Macaca mulatta: one gene and its partners. The main gene of each other region encodes a partner of the protein of the gene in region 2 in a complex. Links are inferred from orthologs where the notes say so. Each region holds a gene or a part of one and is shown on either strand. Other genes may lie near its edges. The genes, in order: HJURP, CENPA, NTMT1 and CENPC.

Region 1 (7,359 bases), on a different chromosome or scaffold from region 2:
AGAACTCAAAATGAGATGCCCACATCTATTAGCTCCTGTCACATTCAGTCTCTTGATGAAACAAAACTGTAGCATATGTACAGTATTAATTTACTCATCTAGTTTGAAACAGGGTGACTATACCATATATAGTCTATGGGTCCCTTATTGGCAGATCCTGTAAGTTGGCCAAGAGCCATGCCCAGGTCCTTCTACCTCGCCTTCCTCCACTGGATGACAGAACACCAGCCTCTCTGGCAGCCAGGCCTGGCCCTGCCAGCAAGGTGTCAGCAGTCTGCTGGGTGTTGGGGGAGGAGAGGCACAAGCACTGCTGGGTTGCAGTGATGGTTTTCCTGAAGAGGAAAGGATGGGTCATGTTGTCCTTAGGAAGCAGCAGGCCTGAGGGAAGGCTCTAGATCTGTAGGGGCCATTCTGGCCCTGGCCCAGCCTGAGCCAGCATTACACTGCCGGCCTGTTCTTTGAGGAAATGAGCCGTCTGTGAGGTCTGCAGCACCTGGCCCGGTACTCAGCTCTCAACAGCGTGCACCCTCCTTACTGACTCACAGCCTGTGGACTGAACTGGGTCCCTCAGGTTCATATGATTAAGCCCTAGCCCCTGGCATGATGGTAGTATTGGAGATGGCGCTTTCTGGAGGTGATTAGGTTTAGATGAGGTCCTGAGTGAGGGGCCCTTATGATGGGATTAGTGCCCTCCTAAGACACCAGAGACCTTGCTCTCTCCAGCACGTGGGGACACAGCAGGAAGACAGCTTTCTGCAAGCCACGAAGAGTCCTCACCGGAGCCCAACTATCCTGGCTCCCTTGTCTTAAACTTCTAGTCTCCAAAAACTGTGAGAAAATAAATTTCTACTGTTGAAGCCACCTGGTCTCCAGCATTTTGTTATAGCAGCCTGAGGACGCAGGCGTGCGCGCGTGCACACGCGCATATTCACGCACACAACGTGGTCCCAGTGTAAGACATGGGGGGAAGGGATATGGGGTGGGGTAGGGAGGTGATATCGGACATCAGGAGAGTAATCGCCTGGGGAGGCAGGCAGGAATGAAAAATGTGTACCTCAATCTCATTTTTAATCTTTCATAAAAAAGCAACCCCAAACTCATATGGCAATATATTAACTACGCCAGCATGAGTTTCACCAGTGTATTCTGAATATGTGAACTATTTCACTACAAAAACGTCACCATGATATCCTGTCATCAACAGCTTCAATAAGAATCGTGAGGAGTCACAGGCGCTGTGGCTGCAGGAGTGTCTGGGACCACCAGGACTATTAATTTTCCCTCAAGGGTCATTGCATGCAGGGCTCAAACTTACGTCTCACAAGCAAACAATACTCTCAAATGACATGGGAAACAGGAAATTCTCTGGACATATCTAAATTTAAAAAAGAACACATGGCTGGGCGCAGTGGCTCACACCTATTATCCCAGCACTTTGGGAGGCTGAGGCGGGTGGATCACGAGGCCAGGAGTTCAAGACCAGCCTGGCCAATATGGTGAAACTATGTCTCTACTGAAACTACAAAAATTAGCCAGGCGTGGTAGTGTGCGCCTGTATTCCAGCTACTTGGGAGGCTGACACAGAAGAATCGCTTGAACCGAGGCGGCGGAGGTTGCAGTGAGCTGAGATTGCGCCACTGCACTGCAGCCTGGGCGACAGAGAGACTGTCTCAAAAACAAGCAAGCAAACAAAACCCCCCAAAAACGCACACATTAGAAAAACAGGCCTATCAAAGAGAACCCTAAGAATTCTAACTGAGCAACTTTATTCACATAATTTCTACACCAAGAACTCGAGGGCCATCTCTGATGGAGCCAATTTCACTAATATTTGCTTTAAGGGCAGAGAAGTCAACCAAGTCCTCAGTCTCAAGAATTAAAAACAAAAATACAAACAGAGAGCAAGTGGGAAGAGAAATAACACTCAAAATTACCTAGCTGCACACTTTTAGTTTTGATTTTTCTAGCACAAAATCACTTCTCTTCCATCCTGTAAGACGTGTTCTTTCCTCTAGGGAAAAAAAAGACAAAGAAAATGATGTTAGCAAAATTCTAGTAGAATTCCCAACGCCAGCCACTAAAAGGTTAACTGTTTTCCACTTACTCCATTGCATGTATAAAAATACTTACAGAAAATTACGTTAAGTAAGTTATGTTAAAGAAACAACAAAAATATAATGGCGACCCCCCCACGCCGCCCCCCACACTCCCCCAGGGAGCACAAGCTGGTGGGAAAGTCCACATCCCACACCCTGGCCCAGCTAGCGCCGCTGCGCGAGTGAATTTAGGAGTTCTAGGATTTAAGCTACTTTTCTGTATCTATTAAAAGGAGAGACAGCCTGCCTATTGGACAGAATCGATCTAATCAAGGGGTTCTGGTGGGGATTAAAGATAAGGCGTAAAAATGGTTCAGCATGACCTGGCACACAGAGAGCACTGAGATGTTAGGCATGAAAACTCCATATGTAGTTGTAGCTCATGAAGATTTGGTCTCTTTCCTCAAGAAATTTATCATTTAAGCAGAAAAGCAGAAAAACATAGGAAACCAGTTACACGTTTATACTGTGGTTTAAAAAAAAACCTGGGGTGCTCATGATTTGACTTGCTGTCAAATTCCAGGGCAGCTGGGAGCGCCCTCAGGATGGTCTACTCCCCAGCCCCACAATAATGCAGCCTCACACCATTCCCCGCAAGGCCGAGGTCCCTCCTGTGTGGCTGGGCCAGAAGAAAGCCCTTTAAGGCTGAGCAGGTGAAAAAACAAGACAGGAGCCTCTGCACGGAGCACTGGGGCAGGACGTCACACATGGAAAGGGGTCTGCAGGCGACTGGCACGGTGCCAGCAGATCACAGAACAAGGTGGGAAAAGGCACGAGACAGAATCCCAGGGCAGGATGATGGTAAATGGAAGAGCTGGGGCACTACCTGAGAAAAAAGTTAGGTTTAGACAGGCAGGGCGAGCAGAGCAGAGGAGCTCTGATGTGCGGGAGGCAGGAGAAACCTCGGATCACTCTCTGGGCCGGAGAGTTGTTTTTGGTGAAATGCTCCCCTTTCAACTGAGAAAGAGACTCTTGAGAGGTCATCTGTTAAACAGAACGCATAGGCTTCGCTCTCAAAGCAGCCTCCACGAAGTGTCTGCCATGAAGATGCGGCTGAGATTCTCGAAGGCTTCACTAACTGGGGCTCAAAGCCACCCAGCCAGTGGTTTGTTCTGAAAAAGCCATGTGGGCACAGGAATGGGGCATCAGGCACACAGTTGGAGACCAAGACCCGAGGGAAAGACTCTGCTGTTAGCCAGGCCCTGCCCACACAGTGCCTGACCCTAGCCAGGCCCTGCAGAGAAAAACCCTTCCCATCACCTGAACACATATGTATGTCCATCCTCAACTGGGAAGACAGATGACAACAGAGGGCTTGTTTCATCTGCTCCTGGTTAGTTCACACAGTATGACTTTATACATGAAAATAACTTTGAAAACCAAGACACCCAACAAAACCTGGGAGCTTCTAGAACTGAGCCAAGGAGCCTGAGCTGCTAACCTACGAGACTGGCCCGTGTCCAGACAGCTCCTCACTGCAGCACCCACCATGTGGTGGGAGGGTGGGGGTCACCTGCACAGAGCAGGCAGCTGAGCGGTGGGTGGAGTCTGGGGAGGACGTCTGGGGATGCAATAGCAAAGAACCAGGTAGTAGCGGGAGAATGCCAGTGAAAGTTCCCTGGAAGGGAAGGGCTGTCCCACGGCAGACCCTGGAGCGGGTGGCCCTGCAGCAGTCCAAGGGCATTGGGAAGACAGAGTCACAGTGAGAAAGGCGTCAGGCGGCTCAAGTCACAGGAGGCCGCTGGTGGTCTGAGAGTGTGGTCTCTGCCATGCACAGGCCGGACTGCAGGCTGTGAAGGCAGGCGCCACAGAAGGAACAAGGCATGCCAGACCTTGGTTCTGAGCTGGACGGATGGCAGGAGCCAGCAGCTGAGAAGGGCTCACAGGCCAGGCGGGCCCAGGTGGGAGAAACAGAAAATGGGACATTTATGACAGGCAGCGTCCACGCAAATGACCTCAAAGAGGCACATCGCCAGGGTAGGGCACAAGGGAAGAAGATACTGGAGACACAGCCTCACCTGCTGGAACCACAAACACACAAAACCCAAAGGAACTGGCCAAATCAAACCCACAGTCAAGTCCTGTCCACCTGTGGGTGAGCTGTGGCACTGAGCTTAAAAAGTCGCATCCTCTAGATCCTGGCTGTGGACACACAGACAAGCTGTGCTGGGGAATCCAGGCCTTAATGCCAACAAAGGTACCCACTCACACTGACCTACCCCACCGCACTGTCGCTCGAGAAAAGGGCACACGCAGACTCAAACTCTAGCTGGCGTGATTCGCACAAATGAAGCTGCAGAGCGAGGTGCAGAAGTTTTCACGCCGAGCACTGAGGCGACCTGCAGGGCACCGCTCACGCCTGTGGGAATGCCATGCTCATGGCTCTCCCGGGCCACTCGTGCTCTGTCCCCACCAGGAGTCCCGAAATAGACAGGAAGTCATTTGCTTTAGAACACTTCTGCCTTCCAACGCTATTTTCTGAGTGTCAGATGAAGAGGTTAGAAATCAACGTTCGACAAAGACGAACAAAGTGTAGTAAGTGAGGATTTGTAGAAAACCACCTGTGAGTGCATTCTAGTGGAAAGCATGCGATGCAAGAGCGTCTTCTGCTCAACCTCGATGCATCTTGCACAGGAACATGTTCTCGATATAGACGATTTTACAGGAAGGAAAAGCATTTGGGAGAATGCTCGGAAAATGATCACGAATGTAAGAATTCGGTTGAGATTCACTAAAAGGGGCACAAAGGTTCCCACCATAAAAACCCTCTGTCCAAAGAGGAGTCACTCACATAAAACACCCACGTTCAACCAACAGAAACGCACCTTCCTCTCTTCTGAGTTGGGCTGTGAAGAGCTGCCCTGGTCTCCCGGTCTTACGATGTTGACTACCCCATCTGAGGCACCCTGGGAACTGGCCTGGCATCCAGAGCCCTGGGGGTCTGACAGCCTGGGTCTTTTTGCAGGGAAATGATGGTCCCTCTTGGTGGCACGAGCAACACATGTAGATGAATGAGCCTCAATTGCAGTTGAGCCCAGTAGACTTTTTCTGCACCCCAGGGGTGATGATGGCAACTTCTGGAAACCCTGGAAGTGAGGGTCTGGATTTAATTTTCCTAAGAAGCCTTCTGTTTGATACCGAACTTCCATACTTGCTTTACCTGTAGACACTCCAATACATGAAGGCGCCTTCATCTGCTCAGGAGATCTGAGGCAGTACTTTTGATGAAGCTTGTCAAATTCTTCTTTAATTTCATCATAACGATTCCTTCTGTGGCCTAGCACTTCTTTGTCTGGGCCTGAAAGAGTTTTGATGGGTGACACTGACTTTCTAAATATTCCAGAACTGTTCCCTTGAACGTGAAGATCAGAGGTCTGTTGCGGGCGAGCTGGGCTGTGTGTGGGGTTGGCCTTTGGAAGTGAAGAAGAATTGCTCTTGGGCAGGCACCTACCTGATTTCAGAGATCCTTTGGCCAGGTTTTCAAAAGCCTCGCTTAAACTTCTTGCTTTTGCTTTGCTGGAAGGTAAACTCAGCTTGCAGGTTTCTAAGCCCTGAAGGCCACCAGGACTCGCAGGACCCCCTTTGTACACGTTCATGGCCCAGGAGTCTGGGAGGCCCATCTGGGGAGGCTGGTTCCTGGGACTCAAGCAATATTCCCGATGAAGCTGATCAAATCGCGTTTCAATCTCCCTCTGACGGTTCTCTCTATGGCCCTGTTGTATTCTTGGTCTGGAAACTATTTTTACAGGAGAAATTAACCATTTTAATGTCCTAAATCTATCTTCCTGATCAAGATTATACGTTGCACTGGAGTTGAAATAAATCAAGGAAGAATACTTCGAGGGTGTCACTTTCAGCTCCTTCCAACTTGGATCTAACTTATGGATTTGGGGTTTGTTGACTTCAAGAAAAGCTTTTTCCAATTTTAAACCTGTCGTATGGCAAGGAACATCTAATACGTTCTTGCAATCTCTGATTGCTCCTGTGTCTTTCACAGGCTCACAGCAGGGTACAAAGTTCTCCTTGGAGCTCCTCTGAGAACGTCTGGCTCCTTTGCAATACGTTTTGTTCATCCTGCTCTTACCTCTGTGCCTGCTCCTGGAGTTCCAGTTTTGCATGATGAACGTTTTGGTGGAGATGATGCTTGATGGCTTTGTGCTCAACAGGCGGCTCATGGAGTGCAGCATCCCTGCGTACAGGTCACTGATGGTCACGTTGCAAATGTCATCGTCTTCAAAGTGCTGGCTGCTTAAGAAGCTGCTGCTACTGGTCTCTTGCAGGGAAAGGCTGTCATTTCTAGGTACTAAGGCCATGTCTGTGGAGGAAGGATGTGAAGGATCCCATTCTCTGGGAGATGAAGCTGGTTTTGCTGGGTCACCAGGACTCTTTCCAGAGACACGACTGTAGTATCCTGGGAGAAAAGATACACATAAAGTAAAGGTGTGTTACCATTCTAAACCATCCATGTGCACAGATGACAGAACTTAAGATTGGATCAGGACTATGTTTTTTTAAGCAATAGCAAAAACAAAAACACCACAAATGTGTAGGAGTAGACTCTTCTCAGAGATATTTTTTGCTATCAAAATTTGATTTCTACTCTCCATCGTACATTTCCCAAAGGTGTCTTCCTTTGCTTCTAGGCTGTTTAGAAGATGGATGCCTTTGCAGAAGCTAATTAGAAACTGAAAAATGACAACGCCGTTTACCTACAGGGATGGGAAGGGGCGTAAGACTTCTAAACAAACATCTTCATATAGCTTTGACTTTTGCATCATGTTAAATGTTTCCTATATGTAACCAACAATGATGGGGAAAAACCATAAAATTGAACACAAACAGAAAAAGAAAATTTGTATGTTACATTGACAACTGAAAGAGAAAAAAGAGTCCAAATATGCTGAATGTCTGCCTCTTAAAGAGATATTGTCTAGGAATAAAAAGAGCTGCTTGGAAATGTTGAAGCTTACTTAGCACATGGTTGTGAAGAGTGGTAGCAGGTGCCGCAATGCTAGAGTTATTTTGTGCTGCACGATTGACCAGATGAGCGCGTGTTAAGTCATTGTGGCTGGTGAGAACAGGGAGAGGAAAATACGGCGTCAGGGCAGGGGTGAAGAAATGCTCAAAAAATCATGGGGTTGCACCACACGACACAAAAGCCAGACTGAAAGGGGCTCCCTGACAGCTAAATCTGGGACTACTTGAGTGTCAGATTGAATACTGGCAATGGATTATAACATGGGAATCAAAGAACAAGAAGACT
Region 2 (8,098 bases):
CCTATTAGAAAACAAGAACATTAAAAGATATCTGAGCTAAGCATTCAAATTAAGTATTAGAGAGTTATTAAAGTAAACCACAACAAGATAGAACAAAAGAAATATTAGATAATAAGTTAGTGAAAATGAAAGTTAAAGAAAAAACAGCACAGTTGCTCCATAATTACAACCAAGGACCAAGATGAGTGAACCTCCAATAAGTTGAACAAACAAACAAAATACAAAAATAACATTTTGAAGGATAAAATTGTTTCAGAAATGTTATTCAAGATCCAGCCAAGGAAAGAGACTCTACACCAAGTTCAACAGAAGGCATTTAATACAATAAACTAATCACAAAGTGTTAGAAGAGCTGCAAGAGCAAGTGGGGAAGGTGAGACAATCCAGAGACGGCCTGTGCCAGGCAGCCGGCAGAGAAGATCATCCCTGGGTGAGGCTAGGGAACATAAGCCAATGAAACAGGGCAGTGTCCAGGAGACTGGTGACATTTAAAAGAGGGAGGACCCATACCCAGGAGACGAGCTACTGACACCTCCCTCCCTCCCCACCACCAGTTGGCAATCCAGTCACTGGAGGCAGTCTTTAATAAACAGACATAGGGCTGGGTGCGGTGGCTCATGCCTGTAATCCAGCACTTTGGAAGGCCAAGGTGGGTGAATCACCTGAGGTCAGGAGTTCGAGACCAGCCTGACTAACATGGAGAAACCCATCTCTACTAAAAATACAAAAATTAGCTGTGCGGGGTGGCGGGCACCTGTAATCCCAGCTACTTGGAAGGCTGAGGCAGGAGAATCGCTTGAACCCAGGAGGTGGAGGCTGCAGTGGGCTGAGCTTGCATCGTTGTACTCCAGCCTGGGCAACAAGAGCAAGACTCCGTCACAAACAAAAATAAATAAATAAAATAAAAAAATAAACAAGACATAGCATTCACAGAAAATGTGAAGATGAACACAACTAAAGATCACCCAACAATTTAAGAAGGCCAATACCATGAAAGAAAGGAACCAAACTCAACAAACAAAATAACCAATACCAGACGAAATTGAGTTAATAGAGAAAAGAGATAGAAACCTCGAGAGAAAAATGGATAACAATCTCAGAGAGGTAACAGAGATATGAAATCCATGAACCAAGGACAAGTGGTTCTGAAAAGTAACCAATTAGAGAGATCATGGAAAAGAACTGGGATCAAAAATTTAGTAGTTGGGTCTTGAAATGCCAACATGAAGAGATGGAATTTAATCCTAATGTAAGAAGAAGCCAGGGAAGAGTTTTAAGCAGAATAGAGATGTTGAAGGTCACTCCAGCTGCTGTGTAAGGAAAGAAGTGGAAAGGGACAGAGTGGAAGTGGATTAGCAGCTGATTAGGGGGCTCTCACAGTTGCTCTTGAGAGACGCTGGTGGCTTGGACTAGGGTAGTGGGAGCAGAGATGGTGAAAATGGAGTGATTAAGGAGCAGTTTGGAAGTAGAATTATCTGGACTTGCATTTGTATTGGAGATGGTGGTCTCCCAGGCTTGTGGTTTGAACAACTGGGTGGGTAGTTGTGCCATTTACTGAAATGGGCAAACTGAGGATGAAGGGGCTGGAGGGGAGTAACCAGAAGTTCAGTTCTGGGTGTGTTAAGTTTAACATAACCACGAGCCTTCAGATAGAAAGGCAGTTAGATATAGGTATCTGGGGTTAGAGGAGAGATCCAGGTATACATAAATTTGAGAGCTGTCAATGTAAATCTCGGTGGGATTTAGAGCCACTGAGGAGATGAGACCATCTAGGGAGGGGGTAGAAAGGAAAAGAATGTCAAGGAAGTCCAACATCAAGGAGTGGAGGGAGGCAGCACAAGCAGTAAAGAACACTAAGCAGAACTGCCAGAGTGCACAGTGGCATGGAAGCCAAGGGAACAGAATGCTTCAAGGAGAAAGAGGCCCACTGCATCAAATGCTTCTGAGACACAGTAAGAACACAGACCCGCCTACTGGATTTGGCACTACAAAAGGTGCTGGTGACCCTGACAGGAGTAGTTCAAGCAAATTAGAAGTGGGATACTGGTTGTGGGGAGTCAGATTGGAGTGGGTTGTAGGGTCACTAGGAAGTGAGGAATCAGACGCAATGTATGTGGACCTAACAAGTCTGGCTGTTTTAAAAGGAGAGCTATGAAGGGAAATAGAGAGAAATGGGAGGTATAGGGAAGTGAGAATGTGGGGTCAAGGAAACACCCCTGCCCTTTCTCTTAAGATCATAAATATGGTTGGGAGCGGTGGCTCACACCTGTAATCCCAGCACTCTGGGAGGCCAAGGCAGGCGGATCACTTGAGGTTGGCAGTTGGAGACCAGCCTGACCAACATGGTGAAACCCCATCTCTACTAAAAATACAAAATTAGCCAGATGTGGTGGCGCATGCCTGTAATTCCAGCTACTCGGAAGGCTGAGGCAGGAGAATCACTTGAACCCAAGATGTGGAGGTTGCGGTAAGCCGAGATCACCGTTGCTCTCTAGACTGGGCAACAAGAGGGAAACTCTGCCTCAAAAAAAAAAAAAAAAAAAAAGATCATAAATACTAGAGCACATGTGCCAATGCCAGTGTTAAGTGTCTGGATTTATCTAAGCACAGGTAGAAAGCTCCTTTGTAGGTGAAAGAAGGATATGACCAAGACCCCATGTAGAAGGAGGAAGAGCTTTGATAGGAAGGGGGACACCTAGTCAAGGCCATCATTGGCTAAGAGTAGGGGGAATGGAGCTGTAGGAAGTCGAGGAAGGAGAAAAAGGTATGAAATAGTCATGGGGAGAATGGAAAAGCAAGAATTCCAGACAAAGGGCAGGCACGATGGCTTTTCTTTGTAGAGACAAAACAATTTGTCTCTACAAAAAAGCTTTAAAAATAGTCAAGCATGGTGGTGCACATGTCATCCTAGCTATTCGGGAGGCTGAAGCAAGAGGATTGCATGAGCCCAGGAGGTCAAGGCCGCAATGAGCCAAGATAGCACCACTGCACTACAGCCTGGACGACAGAGTGAGACTCCGTCTCTAAAACTGAAGAAAGAATACCAGACAAAGGTGGTAGGACTGCCAAGAAGTGTTGACTGCCCATTTGAGATAAACCTTCCATTTGATCAGGAGTAGAAGGATGCTTCTACCTTGGAAAGCAACAGCAAACATCATACTTCATATTCCCGTTAAAATTACAAATAAGACAAAGATGGCCAAAACACCACTCTTAGTGAGTCTCAGGGCCTTACTAATACCATACAATAAGAAATAAAATGTTTAGAGACGAAAATGAAAGATTCTAAAGTTATGTGCAGATGACATAATAGTCTACTTAAAAATTTCAATTGAAGCAACTAAAAGAGACTAGGATGAACGAGAAGTCAGCAAGTTGGCTGGATGCAAAGGTTAAATGCTTGTGTTTTGGGAAAGAAAAAAAATCCCATCCGCAACAGCAACATCTAGAAACAACCTACTCCAGCCTAGGCAACATGGCAAAACCCCATCTCTACTAAAAATACAAAAAATTAGCCGGCATGGTGGCATATGCCTGTAGTTTCAGCTACTCGGGAGGCTGAGGTGGGAGAATCACCTGAGCCTGGGAAGTTGAGGCTGCAGTGAGCCCTGATGGCATCACTGCACTCCAGCCTGGGCGATAGGTCTCAAAAAAACACAAAAAAACAAAAAGCCTATAGGCACAGTGGCTCATGCCTGTAATCCCAGCACTTTGGGAGGCCCAGGCAGGAGGATCACTTGAGGATCACCAGGAGTTTGAGACGAGCCTGGGTAACATAGGGAGACCGAGTCTCTATAAAAAACAATGAAACAGACAAACTCTACAATACACTTCCCATCTTCTTCCTAGCTATGCAGCAAGAGTTAAGAGATAAGTAAAGCAGCTGTTGCCACCGTGTACCACACAGGCATCTGCCTCCTCCTGCCCTTGGGTCTCCCATCCACCAGCCTACCACACAGACAATGAAGACACAGACTTTGGCCCCTCTTTCCCCGGACACAAGCTCTGGAACGCAACAGCGTGAGCAGCGCAGAAGGCCTCGGTTCGAGGCCTAAGAGCCTGTCCCGGAAGGGGAAAAAAAACCTGAAAGACACCTCCTAAGAGGACTCCTGTTTGAAATCGTCACCGAAAGCAGTCAATACTTGTGCAATCTAAAAATGCACAAACACAGAGGATTGGAAATCCCGTGTCCGCCAGAACAAGTTGTGTGACTCTGCTCAAGCTCCCTGGCTTGTGCCTTGGCTTTCTCATTAGCTGTAAAATGGGCACGATATGAAGCTGAGATAACGCACGAACAGTGGGACGCAATGCCTGGTTGGCGGTGGGCGCTGGGTAACCGCTAGTCCTAACAAGAAGACGGCGTTAGGGGCCAAGTGGCTGCGCCGGTCCCTTCACGCTTTCGGAACCGCTTGCTCCAGTCCCTCGCAGGGCTGCCACCGCCCGTGCCCGGAGCGGATGCCAGACGGCGGAACCGCGTTGTCCCCCAGCAGGGAAGGCCACGGGATCGGGATTCGGGAGATCCGGGCTCCGCCTGCGAGCCTCGGTTTTCTCCTCTACGAGATGGGCCGCGGCCAGTTACCTAAGGAGGGGCCCCGCCGGGAGGGGCCGGGGGTCGGGCTCGGGCTGCGCCTTCTCGGGGCCTCGGGCTTGCGGCTCCGGCGGCGCGGGCCCATGTCACGCCGCGGAGGGTGCCGGCGCCCGGCCCCACGGCTCCTGCTCGGGCGGCCGGGTCCGGGGGCGAAAGGCTGGCTTCTGGGGAGCCCAGAGAACGCTGGGCCGCGAGCCTCACAGGAGCCGGTGCTTGGCCGCAGTCCGCGCCGCTCGCGTTCAAATCGCTCGCTCCGCCCACTTCACCGCCGGCGTTTTTTAAAACCCGAATCCAGCGACTTCCAGTGGCTGACTCTGGAACGCCCCTTACGTAGAGCGACTGCAGGTAGGACCAATGAGAGTATGAACAAATAGCGGCGATGGTAGGAGGATAGGGGCGACTGATGGTAAAATCAACCAATAGACACCTAAAGAAGTAAGAGGGGGCGGGAAATTCTCCTGCCCCTGCTTGCCAATCTGGGTGCTGGTGTTTGCGGGACCGTACTGACGTCCTCAGGTGCCCTCCAGTCAAAACACCGAAGCTCAGTTCGGAACGTAGATGGTGTGTTTGTAGCACGTGCTTTTCTAGACAAGTCACTTTCCTTAAACATTTTATGCTTTGCCCTAGCAACGCAGAGACGACTTTTAAAGACGAGGAAACAGACCCACAGAGAATGTGACAACCCCATGTCGTGTCTGCGACCCTTCCAGGAATTATCCACAAATACACTCAGAAGCCAGTTCAACTGCGTGAACTTCAACTGCTGATCCTTGGGGTCGCGGGGACGGCGGGATCAGCGGAGCTTGGGTTCCGGCAGGGCAGGCCTCGGCACTATAGCAACGCAATCGTCCCAGAAAAACGCTCACTTCCCTTTGTTGGGGATAATAAAAATTCAAGTCCTGTCCCAGTATGTAGAGTAAGGAGAATTTTAATTTTCTAAATTTTATTTCTTGCATTTTCTAAATGTAGTACAGTGAACATGTAATCAGGAAAAAAGTTAGTTATAAAATTAGTGATTTCATGGAACCCTTGTGCATTGCTGGTGGGAGTGTAAAATGCTGCGGCTGCTGTGAAAAATAGTATTGGTGGTTCCTCAAAAAATCAAAAATAGAATTACCAGATGATCCAGTAATTCCACTTCTGGCTAAATATCCAAAAGAATTTAAATATAGCCAGGGACTTGAACAGATATTCTCACACCCGTGTTGATAGCGGCATTCTTCACAACAGCCCGAAGGCAGAAACAGCCTGAATGCCCATCAACAGATGTATGGATAAACAAAATGGGGCGTATACCACAATGGGAATTCTGACACCTGCTGCAACATAGATGAACCTTGAGGACGTTATGCTAAGTGAAATAAGGCAGTCCACCAAGGGACAAATGCTGGGCCGGGGTGCGGTGGTTCACACCTGTAATCCCAGCACTTTGGGAGGCCGAGCTGTTCAGATCCCTTGAGTTTGAATCCAACCTGGCCAACATGGCGAAACCCCATCTTGCCGAGTGTGGTGGCTCACGCCTGTAATCCCAGCACTTTGGGAGGCCGAGGCCGGCGGATCACCCGAGGTCAGGAGTTCAAGACCAGCCTGGCCAACATGGCGATACCCCGTCTCTATTAAAAATACAAAAACTAGCCAGGTGTTGTGGCGCACACCTGTAATCCCAGCTACTTGGGAGGCTGAGGCAGAACTGCTTGAACCCGAAAGGCGGAGGTTGCAACGAGCTGAGATTGTGCTACTGCACTCCAGCCTAGGTGACAAGAGCGAGACTCTGTCTCCAAAAAAAAAAAAAAAAAAAAAAAAAAACACAAAAGAGAAAAAGAAGAAAGAAACCCCACCTCTAACAAAGATACAAAAAAAAAAAAAAAAAAAATTAGCCTGGGCATAGAGGTGCACACCTGTTGCCCCAGCTATTCAGGAGGCTGAGGTGGGAGGATCACTCAAGTCCAGGAAGTTGAGGCTGAACTGAGCCATGATTGTGCCACTGCACTCCAGCCTGGGCCACAGAGTGAGACCTGTCTCAAAAAAAAAAAAAAAGGACAAGGCTGGGAGTGGTGGCTCATGCCTGTATAATCCCAGCACTTTGGGAGGCTGAGGCCAGTGGATCATGAGATCAGGAGATTGAGACCATCCTGGCTAACATGGTGAAAACCCACCTCTACTAAAAATACAAAAAATTAGCAGGGGGTGGTGGCACGCATCTGTAGTCCCAGCTGCTCGGGAGGCTGAGGCAGAATTGCTTGAACCTGGGAGCAGGAGGTTGCAGTGAGCTGAGATTGTGCCACTGCACTCCAGCCTGGGCAACAGAGCAAGACTGTCTCAAAAAAAAAAAAAAAAAAAAAAAAAAAAAAAAAAAAAAAAGGACAAATACTGTATGAGGTACCTGCAATAATTGAACTCAGAGACAGAAAGTAAAATGGTGGTTGCCAGTGAGTGGGGGAGGAATGGGGAGTTAGTATTTAATAGGTGGAGAGTTTTAGTTTGAGAAGATGAAAAATTCTGGATATGGATGGTGGTGATGGTTGCACAACACTATGAATGTGCTTAATGCCATTAACTGTACACTTAAAACTGGTTAAAATGGTAAATTCTATGTTTTGTGCATGTGTGTATATACATACACACACACACACACACACACACACACACGCGTTTCCCCCCACCCCCCCAACAGGATCTTGCATCATTGCCTAGGCTGGAGTATAGTGGTGCAGTCAGAGCTAACTGCAGCCTTGAACTGCTGGACTCATGCAGTCCTCCCACTTCAGCCTCCTGAGTAGCTGGGACTAATAGGAATGCACCATCACGCTTGGCTAATTTTTTAAAAAACATTTTGTAGGCTGGGTGCAGTGGCTCAGGTCTGTTATCCCAGCACTTTGGAAGGCTGAGGTAGGTAGATCACTTGTGGTCAGGAGTTGAGGTCAGAGACCAGTCTGGCCAACATGGTGAGATCCTATCTCTACTAAAAATACAAAAATTAGCCAGGCGTGGTGGTGTGTGCCTGTAGACCCAGCTACTCAGGAGGCTGTAGCAGGAGAATCGCTTGACCCCAGGAGGAAGAGGTTGCAGGGAGCCAAGATCATGTCATTGCATCCCAGCCTGGGCAACAGAGAGAGACTCTGTCTCTAAAAAATAAAAAAAATAAGTTTCCCAAGTGCCCTGGTAACTCTGGCTTATCATATAGCCCTTATTATACAGTCATGTATCTATAATAAAGGCATTATATAGTTCCCATGCTTAACAATGGGGATATGCTCTGAGAAATGTGTTGTTAGACGACTTTGTCATTGTGCAGTCATAAAGTATACTTACATAAACCTAGATGGTATAGTGTACTCACACCTTGGCTATATGGTATAGCCTACTGCTCCTAGGCTACAAACCTGTGCAGCATGTTCCTGTACTGAATACTGTAGGCAACTGTAATGCAATGGTATTTGTGTATCTAAACATATCTAACCTAGAAAAGGTACAGTAAAAAACAGTATAAAAAATGGGCTGGGTGCACTG
Region 3 (7,905 bases), on a different chromosome or scaffold from region 2:
GCACGGGCCATCAGAGGGCGGAGAGTGGAGGCGGGGAACACAGTGTGGAAGGTGAGCTGGGAAAGGCAGACGGGGCCTGGATGAGGGCGGCCCCGAGTGCATGCTGGCACCAGCTCTCAGCTGATGTGCTTCCCACACTGCCAGGGCCTACCCTGAAGGGAGGCAGAGTGAGAATGGCAGTGGCCGTGCTGGCTGTCACAGGACAAACAGCAACAGTGGGAGGCAGGAATCCCAGCAGCAGCTGCTGCTACATCCTGATAAACCCATGATAAAGGGAAAATCTCCTCGGTGCAAAACGCGCAGCTGACTGGGAGCTGCAGCTCACCACCTCGCACGTGCCGCCTCCACACAAGGAGAGCAGGGGGCTTCTAGCAAATGCCTGTCGCCAAAGTTGACAAATCGTAGGTCCAAGACCGTCTGCCTGACCCCTGGAGCTACAGGGTCAACACGTAAGAGTCCACATGTGGAACTTGGGCACAGTCCTCAAACACAACTCAAAGCTTAAAACCCTAAGACCCAGGAATGCTCTAGGGGCTTCAAGAGAAGTGGTCAGAGGGAAACAGGAAAACGCCCTGAGAAGGAGCATGAGGCCTTCGGGAAGCAACTATGAGGAAAGAGAAGAGAAACTAAACACAAGACAAGCTGGAGAATTTTCTTTTCTTCTTTGTTTTTTGAGAAAGGGTCTCAGTGTCACCAGACTAGAGTATGGCTCAGGTGACCCTCCCATCTTGGCCTCCAGGGTAGCTGGGACTACAGGCACACGCCGCCACACCTGCCTAACTTTTGTATTTTCTGTACAGACGGAGTTTTGCCATGTTGCCCAGGCTGGTCTCAAACACCTGGCTGCAAGTGATCCACCTGCCTCGGCCTCCCAAGGTGTTGGGGTTACAGGCGGAAGTCACTGCACTCAGCCAAGATTTTTCATTGGTCAAATTTGTTATTGGCCCCCAGTACTATCTTCTGCACTACTATATTCTGAACCTGACCTGAAAGAGAAGGAACTTTCCAGAAGCAGCAGGCCCACCCCAGCCAGTCAGCTCAAGAATACTTCTAACGAGGCCGGGCGCCATGGCTCACGCCTGTAATCCCAGCACTTTGGGAGGCCGAGGCAGGCGGATCATGAGGTCAGGAGATCGAGATCATCCTGGCTAACACAGTGAAACTCTGTTTCTACTAAAAATACAAAAAAATTAGCCGGGCACGGTGGCGCGCACCTGTAGTCCCAGCTACTCGGGAGGCTGAGGCAGGAGAATGGCCTGAACACAGGAGGTGGAGCTTGCCATGAGCCAAGATCGCGCCACTGCATTCCAGCCTGGGCGACAGAGCAAGACTCCGTATCCAAAAAAAAAAAAAAAAAAAGACGACTTCTAACGGATGCAATTCTCCTTCTGTAACTGGTCAGCCTTTTCCGGAGACCCAGCCAGCCAGTGGGGGCAACAGGGAAAGGCCTGTTGTGGCTGCTGAGAACAGAGGGGACGGGGTCCCTCCTCTCCAACACCGTGCCTGACTCCTTCAGCAGATTTGAGCTTTCTTCACTGACAAAGTCACACGCCAGCTTTCTGAGGGTCCAGAGAGAGCTGACAAGACCCATGTGCTCTACCGGGGCCCGGTTCTTCTTAGATCCGTGATTGGGTCTTTTCACCCTCAGCAGAACCCTTTGGCTGTGCCTAGAGAAGTCTACTTAAACCTCTCTTCAGATTCTTGTTTTTTTGAGATGGGGTCTTGCTATGTGGCCCAGGCTGGCCTCAAACTCCCGGGCTCAGGCCATCCTCCCTATTCAGCCTCCCAAGTAGCTGAGATTACAGGCGTATGACACTGGGCCTGGCTTCCCTCTTCAGATTCTTGAATCCACTCGCAGACTGACCCCTCACTTTACCGTTCACACACAGGGTTTGGGCCACAATGAAGAAAGGCAGCCATCACTGCACCAATCAGGGAGCCCTTTGGGGTAACAGGCTGGGGAGGACCTTAGTTCTACTTATTGCACATAACACCTTCCCCGCAAGCTGACCACAGAGCTCCCACACTGGTCTCCCAGCACTGGGAACAACACTGCTGGAAGGAGAAAGCAGCCTATGGCTCAGAAACCCGTCTCTATCAAAAACACACACATTCTAGTACCTCCCAGCTACTAGGGAGGCTGAGGTGGGAGGATCACTTGAGCCTGGGAGGTCAAGGCTGCAGTGAGCCATGATCCTGCCTCTGCATTCCAGTCTGGGCAACAGAGTGAGACAGTGTGTCAAAAAAAGAAGAATTAATTCTTGTTCCCACCAGACCTGCCAATCCTCAAGACTGCTAGATCTGCCATGGTGGCTGACGGGGAAAAGGGCCACCAACCTGAATGTCACCATGTAGCCGGGTTTGGTGGCTGCTATGGTCTGACGGGGTAAGGACCAGGTCAGGTGGGCTGCCTGCCCCTCTGCCAGCAGGCACCAGAGCAACCATGTCACAGCCCTCCATCAGTCACTCAGAGAGGATGGCATTCAAAACTACAGCTGGGTGCAGTGGCTCATGCCTATAATCTGAGCACTTTGGGAGGCTGAGGTGGGAAGACTGCTTGAGCACAGGAGTTTGAGTCCAGCCTAGACAAGAGCGAGACCCTGTCTCAAAAAATAAAAAACACTTGGTGGCTGGGAAAATTAAAGACAAAGGTTAAAAAACGAAATACTACTCTTCCACACCATGCTAGCACAACTCCCATTCAGACTGGAGCACGGCGAGAGCAAGCCCGTCTCCCTCTCACCACCCACCAGTCTTGGTAAACTGAAGGTTTTGTATCCAGTTCTATCTCTCGCCTGGCCTGGGAGCTCCTAGAGAGCAATGGCAACATTTGAGATTTATCACTATGCTTCTCTTGCATCCCACGAAACACAGATATTCAACAGAAAGTTAATCTCTGATCAAATGAACAGAATAAATCTGAGGGCAAACGCGTATCGATTAGACCAGTGCCTGACACCAGGTGGGCACTGACTAATTGGTTGCCAAATAATACAATGGGCTTTGTGCAGCTATAGCCATTTTCCACTTCTAAGAAAATCCTACAGACAAAAGTCCAACCATTCAAAACTGGTAATACTGAAGGCTGTTACCGACAACATAATTTTGTGCTTTACCAAAAGCCTTGTAACATGATTCCTTTAAATGTCAGGGTCCCCCAAATAATCTAATTTACAAGAATTCCACCTACACGCAAATTCTAGGAAAAAGCCAGGGGAGGCACATATTGGCAGGGAAATAGCGAGCCTGACTTTGACATTTGTCCTAACAGCTGATTCATTAATAAATGGGATTCCTAGGGTCCTGGCTACATTCTGTCCAGATTGCAGTGGGGCAGGAGGAGGTCCCTAAGAGTCCGAGGGAACAGCAAGGTCGGTCGGCCAACAGCAGGAGGTCCTGCTACACTCTGCTCCAGAGGACAGATGCCATGTGGCTGCAGGGCCTGGGAGGAGGCCAGGAGCACCCTGGCTTTGTGTGAACTCTAGGCTAGCTCAGAGAGGAAGAGAAACCCCTCACGCCTGGTAAATGCCTGCTCAGCCAGTAAATGTGATCCTACATCCTTCACGGTCACCTAGCTGCTGCCTCCTCCTCCCCGCCAAGGTGTTCAGACCCACGCAGCTGCCCCAGTTACTGCGTCTCTTCTCCCACGACCCATGGAAGAAAACGGTGCTGAAACTGTCACCGGCAGACTTTTGCAGTCATCTCATCCTACTCATGTTAAGTCTCTACGGAAAAGCCTGCCTAAAAGTGACCTCCACCCTCTAGCAGCCTACAGGACAGAACCCATCCTCCCTGGATCTTTGTGGACAGCAGCAGGCCACATGCAAATGGCAGAGTGCTCTAAGAAAAGGAAAGAAGGGAAAAAGGGAGGGAAGAAGACAAAACAGGGGATACATTTAAAAACTAACAAAGACTCTGATGGAGTCGGATGAACCAGATCTGAATCTTGGCTCTGCTCACCAGCTGTGTTAAGCTCAGATAAGACATCAAACCTCACCATTCCTCAGTTCATCTATAAAATGGAGCAGTAATACCGACTTTACAGAAAGCCTGTGATTAAAAGTGCACACGAAAAGCTTAAAGTGCTTTGCACAGTGCCAGGCACATATTCTCTCTTGAGCTTAGAAATTCTCCGTCAAACGAGATTCTTGTCAACTCTGCGCACTATGAGGATCAAATGGGAAAAGTGCCTTAGAATGCCATAGAAGCTGTACTGTTGGACACACCTAGGGGACTGTTACTGGTATGCTGGGCGGCCAATCCAGCAGACTCAAACAGCTCTGCAAATCAGCCAGAGTGAGGAGTGAGCTTCCTCTGTCTGTAAGCACAGAACCCCCACCGAGATTTTTTAGATGCTATCTTTGTGATCCCAGGGCTTCCGGCCTCCACCAAAACACTCCATGCGTTACTTCCAACCCCCACGCAGTCCTCAGTTTACAGAGAGAAAAACCAGCACACTAAAGGAAACGATGTGTCTTTAAACATACGAACAGGAAGCCGAGAACAGAATTAAGGAGGGATTCCAGGCTCCTTATCCCAGCCCTGGTTCCTCCCAGAGGCTCATCCCATCTCACTGGGCAATCATTCTACACACCACAACCACCGGTTACACTGTCCCTCCCCGCTGTCAGGGCCTCTGACACCAGCTGTGGCAATCACTTAACAATAGAGAGGAGAAACCGAAGTCCAGAGAGAGAGATCACACAGTTGGTGGGCAGCAAAGCCTGGGCTTTTCGATATGGCAGCCTCCCTGCAGACAGGCTGACCTTGGCCGCAAGGGTTCTGGGGGTGTCTTTTTTGAGCTGCACCTGTGTCGGGCTGGCGCTGGGGCGGGACCCAAGGTTAAATACGACGGCAACTTCTGTGCAACGGGCACTTCACTGTGCCAGGCTCTGAACTGGGCATTTTACCGATTCCTCCCATCCATCCTCCGAGTGGGCGCTCTCCATATCCCTGTTTCTCGGAGGGGAAACAGGCTCAGAGAAAGGGATTTGCTGCGGTCTGGGGACCCGGGTGGGGGAGTGCCCTGCCTGGGCTTTGAGTGCCTTGACTTTCCTCCTGTACCCCAACCCATGGACTGACTGCTCCGTAGTCCCTGCCCAGGTCCGGCCCGTGGACCGCTTGGGAACGCGCACGTGGGGCCCGTGCCGGCCCTCGCGCACGCGCCGGGTCACGTGACGAGCCGGGGCCCACAGGGCGCCGAAGCAGTTAGGGGTCGCGGCCTCCCCTCTCCCGGCGGCTGCCTACCCTTCGCACCGCCTCGCGCTACTCACTCCGCGCGGGGGCTCCCGGGACCGAGAGAAGAAGATGGGGAAGAGGAAGGGAGGGCGGCAGCGGCGGAGACCCCACAAGGTAACCGCAGCTCCGCCACACCACGACCAGACGCGACAGCTCGCGGCGCGCGCTGCCTTTGTCCGCTAACGTCACTTCCGGGCGTTTAGGGGCGGGGCCACGGCTGGCCCCACCTCCTCGTTCAGCTCGCCCCCCTCCCGCGGGCTCCGGATTTAGCCTGACTTCTTTTGAAAAATAATTTAACTTAATTTTTTTTTTTTTTTAAATTGAGACAGAATCTTGCTCTGTCAACCAGGCTGGAGTGCAGTGGCGCGATCTTGGCTCACTGCAACCTCCGCCTCCCAGGTTCCAGCGATTCTCCTGCCTCTGCCTCCAGAGTAGCTGGGACTACAGGTGTGAGCTACCACACCCAGCTAATTTTTGTATTTTTAGTAGAGACGGGTTTTCACCATGTTGGCCAGGCTGGTTGCGAACTCCTGACTTCAAGTCATCCTCCCGCCTCTGCCTTCCGAAGTATTGGGATTATAGGCGTAAGCCACTGCGCCCAGCCTAATTTGACTGACTGCCTTCCTTCCTTCCTTCTTTCCTCCCTTCCTCCCTCCCTCCCTCCCTCCTTTCCTTCCTTCCTTTCCTTCCTTCCCTTCCCTTCCTTCCTTCCTTCCCTCCCTCCCTCCCTCCTTCCTTCCTTCCCTCCCTCCCTCCTTCCTTCCTTCCTTCCTTCCCTCCCTCCCTCCCTCCTTCCTTCCTTCCTTCCTTCCTTCCTTCCGAGACGGAGGCTCGCTCTGTTGCCCAGGCTGGAGTGCAGTGGCCTATCTCAGCTCACTGCAAGCTCAGTCTCCCGGGTTCCCACCATTCTCCTCCCTCAGCCTCCCAAGTAGCTGGGACTACAGGCGCCCGCCACCACGCCCAGCTAATTTTTTTTGTATTTTTAAAGTAGAGATGGGGTTTCACCGTGTTAGTCAGGATGGTCTCGATCTTCTGACCTCGTCATCCGCCCGCCCCGGCCTCCCAGAATGCTAGGATTACAGGCGTGAGCCACCGCGCCCGGCCTAATTTGACTTCTTTAAAAAAAAAATTAGAGACGGGGTCTCACCCTGTTGCCCAGGCTGATCTTGAATCCTGGCCTCAAGCAAGGCTTCCACTTTGGCCTCCCAGACTGCTGGGATTACAAGCGTGAGCCACCGCGCCCAACACAGGTTACAGCTCAAAACTTGACTAAATTGACTTTTGGGAATCTGGAAGGACCTCCCGAACTGAAAAGAGCCGCGGCGTTGCCCTCTCTTCATCCCCATCACGAACAACAGTTCGTTTGGAGGCTGCAGGCTGGGCTTTGAGTAAGAAGGGGAAAAAAGCCATTGGTCCTCAAATCCACCCATCTCCATTAGCATCTTAAAATAATACCGACCCCCCAAAAATAAATAAAATAAAAAATACTCTTGGCAGTGCCATGGGATTCCCACCCAAATAAGCAGAACAAGCCCATGAAATTTCCATTCCAAAAGCATGGCCCTTCCCTCGGCTCCTCCCATGCAAAGAAATTCTGGAGCTATCTCCGAGGCAGCAGTGATGGAAACACGAGCTTGCAGGTGGGTAGAGCCTGTTAACATCTCCGAGCTTCAGTCTCCTGCCAGAAGAAGTGGAGCAATGTAATCATTACTCAACTTCTGATGCTCTGAGAGGATTAAACTTGTGGGACACTGCACACCAGACCTTCAGCTCAGCACCTGCAGTGGGTTCTCAGGAAATGGAAGCTATTATAATGACAATATTCACCCTAAGGTCATTTTTCCTAAACTATTAATAACATCCTGGTTTTGGCAGGGTGCAGTGGTGCACAACTGTAACCCCAGCATTCTGGGATGCCAAGGCGGGCAGATCACCTGAGGTCAGGAGTTTGAAACCAGCCTGGCCAACATGGCAAAACCCCGTCTCTACTAAAAATACAAAATTAGCCAGACGTGGTGGTGCATGCCTGCAGTCCCAGCTACTCGGGAGGCTGAAGCAGGAGAATCGCCTGAACCTGGGAGGTGGAGGTTGCAATGAGCCTAGATCACACCATTGCTTTCCAGCCTGGGTGACAAGAGCAAAACTCCATCTCAAAAATAAATAAAATAATAATATTCTGGTGTTAGGTTTCCAATGCCTTCCTCTGAGCAGTGCACACAGAAGGTGCTTAAAGTGTGTTTGCTCTAAATGTACTGAAAGCTACGGGAGAAAGGGGATGCCAAAAAGCCACATCTGCATTGAGTCCGCAGAACGTGTGTATGTGCATATTATTTGGCATCCCTTCTAGACTATTCTAGGTCCTAACTGCTACCCCTGGTCTGAGCAAGCTTCATTTTCTGTGTCTCTACGCAAAGGAATTGATCCTGGGCAATTTCAATTGCTGGGGGTGTCTGGAATCCTCCACCAGGGGGCAGCTCTGGTCCAAACTCTGCATGCCTAAAAATCCAGCCCTATCTTATTTCCTGTCAACAGAAGAGCAAGCCCCTTCCCCACACCCAGACTCCAAGGCCTTCCCAGGGCTGGCCAGCTCCCTGACCTCAAAGCCTCTGGCATCTCTGAATTCCCAAGCCTAGCACATAGTAGTTGCTTGATAAATGATTGCAGAGT
Region 4 (7,810 bases), on a different chromosome or scaffold from region 2:
TCATCATTTTTCTATGAAATATTTCAAATATACAGAGAAACTGAAAGAGTAATGTTAATAAACATACCAATGAACTAAGTTCAATAATTAACATTTTTCCATATTTATTTAACTAAATCTCTTTATGATTAACAATTTCAAAGTGCTTACAAATATCACAAGACATTTTACCCCTAAATACTTTGATATGCATATCCTAAGAGTAATGACAAATTACATAAATATAATCACATTATAATACCTAAGAAAACTTTACAATTCTCTAATATCATCTGAAAATTAAATTTTTCATTTTCACTTATTGCTTAATGCTCTTTACAGTTACTTTGTTTTGAACTAGACTCTAATCAAAGTTTACACATTGCATTTGGTTTTCATACAGTGCCTTTGAGTCTCTCTCATTTTCTCTTTCTCTCTTGCGTTATCTCTCTCACAGATTTACTGAGGTATAATTTATTGCAAAAGTCACTATTTTGGCCAGGTGTGGTGGCTCATTCCTGTAATCCCAGCAATTGGGAGGCAGAAGCCAGAGGATCACTTGAGCCCAAGAGTTCAAGACCAGCTTGAGCAACATAGGAAGATCCCATCTCTACAAAAAATTAAAAAAAAAAAAATTAGCAGGGTGTGGTGGTGCATGCCTGTGGTCCCAGGTATTCAGGAGGCTGAGGCAGGAGAATCATTTTAGCCCAGGAGGTCGAGGCTGCAGTGGGCCTTGATTGTGCCACTGTACTCCAGCCTGGGCGACTGAGCAAGATCTTTCTTGTTAAAAAAAAAAAAAGTCACCTTTTTTCAGGGGCACAGTTCTAACTAGGAATTTTGACAAATAGATATAGCCATGTAACTACCATCATAATCAAGACATAGAATATTTTCAGCACTACAAAAAGTTCCCTCGTATTCCTTTATAGCCTTTTTCCCCCACCCTCCTCAACCCCTGGTAACCATTGATTTGACTTCTTTTCATACAGTCATTGATATCCAGCTTCTTTCACTTAGTACAATGCTTTCAAGATTCATCCATATTGTACATCAGTAGTTTGCTTTTATTGCTGAAGAGTATTGCACTTCATTGAGGTACATTTGTGGGATGGGAATGAATACAGACTAATTTTTAAGTGGTTAGTTCAGTTGTGAATATTTTTGTGCTAACACTTAACGGAAGACACGTTGATAGTAAATACTCATACCATAATTGTTTGATGGAAATCAAAGATCTAAAACAAAATATTCTTTGAAATAATTTTAATATTTACAAATTTTAAATTATCTACCTAAAACCATAAATAATGAAAAGTTTTTTTGCTTCTCTTTCAAGACAAATTTCTGGATACTTTATGTTCCCATATACACATCTAATTATGTATATGTTAATACTTCCATATACTGATATGTAAGTACACACACACACACACACCCCCTTAACTAGGTAAGTAGTTGTGAAAGAAACTTCAAGATTGCATTAGCAGCTCATAAGAAGTAATCTTGATGTATTTTGGGGGGAGATTTATAAAGACAAACCTGGGTTTTTAAATAAATATTACTCCCCCCATTAATTAGCAATCCTATTTTAGGATACTAAAACCATGGTGGGGCTACTAAGCACTACAACAATATGGAAGTAAAACGTTTGTCTGGAAACTGTGGCGTCTCCATAACTGTTTTTATAGGAGTGCTGCTCCATTTTCTTTAGAACAGTTCATCCTCAGCACCCTGTGTGGCCTGCATTCTACAGCAGCACAAGCCATTGCATTTCAAATTTCTCAAAACCCTCTGTGGGACTTAGTTTCCAGTGGAAGCAGGAGGATATAATTTTACATATGGGACTTTACATCTATAAGTGTGCTTGCTAAAATTTCTTACCCAGAGGCAAAGAGTGTAGTGATTAAGAGCTCAGTTGTGGAGTCAGAATTCTTGGGATAATATCCCATCCTACCATTTAGTGGTGATGTGATCTTGGGCAAGACACTTACCTCTCTGTGTTTCAGTGCCCTTGTTTATAAAACAGGAATATTAATTGTTCTCTTCAATGCATGCGAAGCATTTACAGAACTGGGCATAGAGTATGCACTCAATAAATGTTAGTGTTTATTACTATCTATTCCAAATGTGATAGTACCAAATTATATATCATGTGGACTGATTGGCAAAACTGCCAAACATAGTAAAAGTGTCTCCATAATGATTCCAATAGCTTTATTATTGAATTCTTACTCTGTTCCAAACATTGTGTGTAGATCTTAACAGGAATTATTCAATTACAACATCTCAACCACTTAATATTATTCTCATTTTGCAGACAAGAGAATTAAGGAACAGATAACTTAGTTGCCCATAATGGCAGAATTAATGGAATGGAGTGCAATCTAGGCCTAATTTCTGTCAGAGTTCATAGTTCCTCTTTCTTTCCTATCAAAAAAAATAAATAAAATAAAAAATTGGCTTTCATAGGTGACAGCATTTATTAAAGCACTACATGTTTTAAAAATCTATTAGCTCAACTCCTGATTAATGTATTTATTCAATGAGTAAACTACTTTCTGATTAGAATTTTCTTGTAATTTTAAATTAAATAATAAAATAAGACACAGCTTCATAGAATCATACACTGGTCAGGTGAGAAGTCTTCAGAGCGTCTAAGTTAGACTTCCATTCTATCACTATGGAAACACCCAGAATGGTGCCGAAATTTTTCTCCCCATAACACAGCTAGTCATTGGCTGGCAGGTTTCAGGATTCTGTATAGAATTCTTTTCAGTGCATCATACTTAAATGATAGCTATTTACGTGGGTCATTTGTTGGCAATGCATCATAAAAACATCACCCACATACTTGAAAAAGAATACAAGCCATCATCACCATTATTACACATAATTATTCAATTATTTTCAGAGATGATGGTTAGATGGGTTGGGCGTGGCTGACGAATTTGCATTAGAAAAATCTCTTCAAAAAGATTCTGTTAAAAAAAAAGTCTTCAATTTCTACCTCTCATCCTTCCAAGTATTACTTATTATTCTTTAATAGAACTGTTGAGAAGTTTTACATTGGGCACAAGGAGCGGTTCCCAGGACCGCGCCTTCCAAATAAAGGCCCACTCTCGCGCCTGTCCCCGACGCGGCGCTGTGGAAGGGAGGTGGGAAGAGCAGAGCAGCTAGAGATAGGGCGGGCGGAGCTGCGGGCGGGAGGGCCATTGGCTTAGAGCAAGAAGGGGCGAGCTCACTAACCGCTTGCTTCCTATTGGACGGCGCAGCCCGTTTTGCGCATGTGCGGCTGGGTTCAAACCCATGCAGGCGCCGAGCGTTCTTGTTTTTTGAGGGCGGAGCTGATGGCGGGGAAGTGTTGTTAGCGCGCGCCTTCCGGATCCCAGCGCTCCCGGCCGTCCTCTTCGACTTAGGGGTGTTGCTTGGCCGCCGCCTGGTAGTCTGGCGGTTCATTTCTTGCTCGGCCTCCTGGAGTTGTGCTCCGTGTGGGCTTCCACCTCAGACCCCTGCGCTGGCTCAGCGGGGCCGGAACATGGCTGCGTCGGGTCTGGTAAGTGCGGGCCCTCGCGCTCCAGGCAAGCGGTTGAGCGGCTGGCTGGGGACACGGGCGCCCGAGGAGGGGGAGAAGGAAAGGCTAGGCTGGGGCTGTGGTCCATGAGGGATTTCAGTGGGAAAGCCGGAGGAATTTTTGAAATCAAGTGTGATCGTGTATCGATAATCGGAGTTAATTTACTGTACTTTTATTATTTCTTAAGTTTTCGTGTCTTCGTCTGTGCCTGCGTCTTACTCTTGAGAGGTGCTTGTGATTTCTGTTGGGGTGTTTTTTCGAGACGGAGTCTTGCTCTATCCCCCAGGCTGGAGTGCAGTGGCGCGATCTTGGCGTCTGCTTTTTAGTCTAGCTCCAGTTCCTAGTCCTCCAAATACTTTTCTCCCCATGGTAGAAGTATTGAAACGCCTTAAAAATGTGCCTTTGCGTCACACTTGCTAGTTGGGAGAAACAGATTATGTAACAAGTATGTCCCGAAATAGTTTGACGTTTTCAGTTCTTCTGTCAAAATGGTGGCCTTATATGCAGTTCTTGAGGCTGATTTATGGAGCATCAGTTATCGACAGTGTTCTTAAAGACAGCTATTAGTTAAAAGGTACAAGCTGTAAATGACTAATGGGGGCGGCAACTCATATTTTGTTTACATATTTCTGGACTTCTTTGGTGTTCACTATTCTATATTTCATACTTTGGTTATGGTTGCTATATCAAACCCGTATCATTTCTTTTCTAATTTATCTCCTCTTCTTCAGCTTCGATGATCTCCCATTGTGTGACGTTATACATATAAACATAAAGAGTTGTATGAAAGAATAATATAATCTAGACTTTTTACTATGAGCACATATATTGTTTACATTATATATAATCAGAAAAAAGCAATAAAGCCATTCTCACTGTGGGGAGAGAAGCGGAATAAAGCTTACCAGATGCCGGCCGTTCAATTTTTAAATGCCTATCATAACCTTAGAATTGTTTTGAGCCCTTAGGAGATATTTGGTGTATAGCATGCCCATGCTGGATGAAGTTACTTTGAAAATAAATTTTATTCTGCTATATCTTAAACCAAATGGATGATTTACTTTTCTTTCAGGATCATCTCAAAAATGGCTACAGAAGAAGATTTTGTCGACCTTCCAGGTGATTTATATACTTAAGCTTTTAAGATTATTTTTATTCTCATCGTTAATAGATTTTTAAATGAAGAAAGGAAAAACTATCACCTGTGACTAAAATAATGATTTCTATGCCCACTGATTAAGGGTAGTCATCTTATACTAACGGAATGTTAATGCAAGCAGTGCAATGACTTTGTGGCTGTGAAAAAAGAAATTCACCTGATAAAATAGTGGAAACAGGAAGAGGGAATCTCAGTTCTGACTAAGTGACTGCCATGGGAAAAGCATTTTGTAGAATGAATCAAATGGTAAAATTAGAAGGATGTAGCTTATTCAGTGGGGCAAAAACAAAAATAATACATGCTATCATGCATTTATTTGTTGGATGCTTATTTGGGTTGTTTTGGTCCTTCTTTTAGTTGTAAAACCTGTAAAAAGTAAATTTTCTAGTTAAATATTTACTAGTAATAGGATGAAAAGCATGTTCTTAAAAGTGAAGATGTTATTTGAATAACATCTTGTTTATTGAGCTGTGATTTTAGTAGGTCCGATAGGGCACAGAAGTATGTTATTTTGCTTCCAAGAAGCTTTCATTTCTATTGGGAAGATGTATATGTACATTTGTGAAATACTTTAATGGACAAAAATTAGTACTTATAATACTGAAGTAATGACTTGTGTGTCAGAGAGAGTACGCCTATATATAATTAGGCATTAACTTGCAGTATAGACAGCCATGTGAGAAATTAGGGAATTCTGTGTTGTTGATATTAAGAAAAGCTTTAAAGTTGTAGTGTAACTTTGGTGGACCTTGAATAGGTTAGGTATTTAAAGACTAAGATAAAGTTCATTCCAGACATAGAAAGTAACTTAGCAAAGGAACCAAAGTAGGAACACATACATTTGTCGGTAGCAGAAACCTGATTTAAGAAGGTTGAATATGTTGGGTAGAAGTGGAAAACAAGACCATATGAGTTGGATTGAGCCATAAAATGGATATGTTAGGCTTAGGTATCTATTATAGGTTTGAATAAGCTGTCCTAAATCTTCTGTGGAATAAGGGCTATCTGATGTAAACACACACACACATTTAAAAAAGCAAAGATGTTTGATGTTTACAGAGTAGCTTAAGGAAGGGGTTATAGTAATCTAGACTTGATGGAGGTGCTTTTATGCTAAGGTAATAATGACAAGGGGGAAGAAAAGATGAATTTGATAAATTTTGAAAAAGCTGTTGCCTAGACTAATGTGACCTGTGTTCTAATAGTGACTCTGCATTATCACCTTGGAAAATCTGATGTTTCTGGATCTCCTCCTTGAAATAGGTAATAGTAGGAGTGTATTTATAGCTGTAGGTGGTATTTTGGGGTGGTGTCAAGGCCAGAATTTGTAACAGTCAGCTATATATATATTCTGGTAGAAAACCGGCCACTAATACTAATTAGGTTTACAAACTGAGGTAGGCCATTTGACCATTTTGGATTGCAGTTAGCCTGTCTGCAAAATGAGGGCATAGGATTCAGCCTAGTGGTTTTTAACTAGATTTGCACCTCAGAATTATCTCCGTCACCCTAGGAAATCTGATTAAATTGGTCTCTAGGAAGTGACCAATTATGTGTATTTCTGCAAAGTTCCAAAAGTAACTTATGCATCTATTTGGATAATTATTGGACTGGATGATATCTGAGATCTTTCAGTTATGAAACTTTATGACGGATGACCTGATAATGCACTGTGGCTCACAATCTTTACTGCATATATAGTACTTTTCGAGCTCTCAAGAATAATAGGAATGTTGTAGATCAGGGATCAGTAAATTCTGGCTGATAGGCCAGCCAAATGTTTTGTCACAGGTTTTGTTTCAATTTTTTTATTGGAACACAGCCATGCCTCTTTACATACTGTCTGTGATTGCTTTCGGGCTAGAATGGGAGAGTCGACTGGTTGTGACAGAAACTATTGTTTACAAGCCTAAAATATTTACCATCTGGCCCTTTAAGCAAAAGTTTGCCCACCCTGTTAGAGATGCATGTCAGTTTTTTACTGATTGAAATCCAGATGTTCTTCAACAGGTAAATGGTTAAACACTGTGGTACACATATAGCATGGAACACTACTTGACTCTAAATAGCAATGAAATATTGATACATTCAACTTGGATTGATTTCCATAGAATTGTGTTGAGTGAAAAAAGCCAAGGCCAAAGGATACGTACTGTATGATTCTAGTTACATATAATTTTTTCCAAATGACAGAATTTTAGAAATGGAGGACAGATTAGTAGTTGCCAGAGGTGGGAATGAGAGGAGGCAGGAAGGAGATGAGAGGAAGGTGGTTATGGTTACAAAAGGACAATAGAGGATCTTTGTGATGATGGAACTATTCAGTATCTTGACTCTGGTTGTTTTATCTGAACTTACAGATGTGATACATTGTGTAGAAATAAATACAAACATGAGTATATTCAGAAATGAGTACATGTAGAACTGAAGAAATCAGAATAGCATTGGTAGATTTTATCAGTATCAGTATCCTGATTGTGATGATATGCTATAGTTTTGCAAAATATTAGCACTGAGGAGAACTAGGTAAAGTGAACAAGGGATCTCTATTATGTTGTATAGCTGTGTGTGAATCTACAAGCTCAATATAATTTTTAATTAAAATTTATACTGATTCATAAACTTAAGATTAATCAATGATACTGAATCAAAAATGCATTTGAGAATTTATAGGGAGGAATCTGTTATTTGGAGATGTGACTGTAAAGTCTGTTAAAGAAGCATTTCAGTACTGATTGGATTCATTCAAAAAAATTTGTGTTTTTGAGATACAGCAGTAATCTAAAACAGCTTTAGACATGGCTGTTCAACTAAGAAATATTAATTATTAATGTAGATTATGATATACTAATTCTTATTAGGACGGAAAGAGTTCAGTTCAGGGAATGTATAGACCCTCAAGTACTTGTTTTGTCTTCAGATAGTAAAGATATTTTACATATTAAGTAAATTAATATTTTACAATGAGATGTGGAATTTTCAAATAGATGGTAATATAAAGAAATATCTTCTGAAAATGATAGGCTGTATTTTTCCTTTCTTTATTAGGGCACGTGACATTAACACACAGCAAGGCCAGAATGTTCTGGAAATCTTACAAG

Evidence for each region.
Region 1: the proteins of CENPA (region 2) and HJURP are in contact, whole or in part, in a crystal structure (PDB 3R45), measured with the Homo sapiens proteins. The link is inferred for Macaca mulatta from reciprocal best matches to the Homo sapiens genes CENPA and HJURP. Residues at the interface, in NP_001800.1 of Homo sapiens: Lys64, Leu65, Ser68, Arg69, Arg72, Asp83, Phe84, Asn85, Trp86, Gln87, Ala88, Gln89, Leu91, Leu92, Ala93, Glu96, Ala97, Ala100, Phe101, His104, Glu107, Asp108, Leu111, Leu112, Leu114, His115, Ile132, Glu136; in NP_060880.3 of Homo sapiens: Glu14, Asp15, Leu18, Lys21, Leu22, Ser25, Arg26, Arg28, Phe29, Arg32, Met33, Leu36, Lys39, Tyr40, Pro43, Phe44, Thr47, Pro48, Val49, Val50, Gln51, Met52, Ala53, Thr54, Leu55, Ile65, Trp66, Gly67.
Region 3: the proteins of CENPA (region 2) and NTMT1 are in contact, whole or in part, in a crystal structure (PDB 5CVD), measured with the Homo sapiens proteins. The link is inferred for Macaca mulatta from reciprocal best matches to the Homo sapiens genes CENPA and NTMT1. Residues at the interface, in NP_001800.1 of Homo sapiens: Gly2, Pro3, Arg4, Arg5, Arg6, Ser7; in NP_001273725.1 of Homo sapiens: Tyr19, Trp20, Met30, Leu31, Gly32, Tyr34, Ile37, Trp136, Asn168, Ile175, Asp177, Asp180, Asp212, Glu213, Ile214, Tyr215.
Region 4: CENPA (region 2) and CENPC share a complex: the UniProt entries of both Homo sapiens proteins name them as parts of the CENPA-NAC complex. The link is inferred for Macaca mulatta from reciprocal best matches to the Homo sapiens genes CENPA and CENPC.

Annotation. Positions count from the first base shown.
Region 1 is NC_133417.1:139,111,465-139,118,823, forward strand, and holds part of HJURP (Holliday junction recognition protein), read right to left. Parts: intron 6,508-7,359; coding exon 4,922-6,507; intron 2,012-4,921; coding exon 1,964-2,011; 3' UTR 1,935-1,963; intron 1-1,934. UniProt on the Homo sapiens protein: Centromeric protein that plays a central role in the incorporation and maintenance of histone H3-like variant CENPA at centromeres.
Region 2 is NC_133418.1:98,212,808-98,220,905, forward strand, and holds the start of CENPA (histone H3-like centromeric protein A), read right to left. Parts: upstream 4,932-8,098; 5' UTR 4,674-4,931; coding exon 4,580-4,673; intron 1-4,579. UniProt on the Homo sapiens protein: Histone H3-like nucleosomal protein that is specifically found in centromeric nucleosomes. Replaces conventional H3 in the nucleosome core of centromeric chromatin that serves as an assembly site for the inner kinetochore.
Region 3 is NC_133420.1:17,992,765-18,000,669, forward strand, and holds the start of NTMT1 (N-terminal Xaa-Pro-Lys N-methyltransferase 1), read right to left. Parts: upstream 5,414-7,905; 5' UTR 5,274-5,413; exon of another isoform or gene 5,164-5,273; intron 5,133-5,163; exon of another isoform or gene 5,031-5,132; intron 2,721-5,030; exon of another isoform or gene 1,231-2,720; intron 745-1,230; exon of another isoform or gene 1-744. UniProt on the Homo sapiens protein: Distributive alpha-N-methyltransferase that methylates the N-terminus of target proteins containing the N-terminal motif [Ala/Gly/Pro/Ser]-Pro-Lys when the initiator Met is cleaved.
Region 4 is NC_133410.1:65,936,176-65,943,985, forward strand, and holds the start of CENPC (centromere protein C), read left to right. Parts: upstream 1-3,306; 5' UTR 3,307-3,514; coding exon 3,515-3,532; intron 3,533-4,014; exon of another isoform or gene 4,015-4,124; intron 4,125-4,622; coding exon 4,623-4,669; intron 4,670-7,757; coding exon 7,758-7,810. UniProt on the Homo sapiens protein: Component of the CENPA-NAC (nucleosome-associated) complex, a complex that plays a central role in assembly of kinetochore proteins, mitotic progression and chromosome segregation.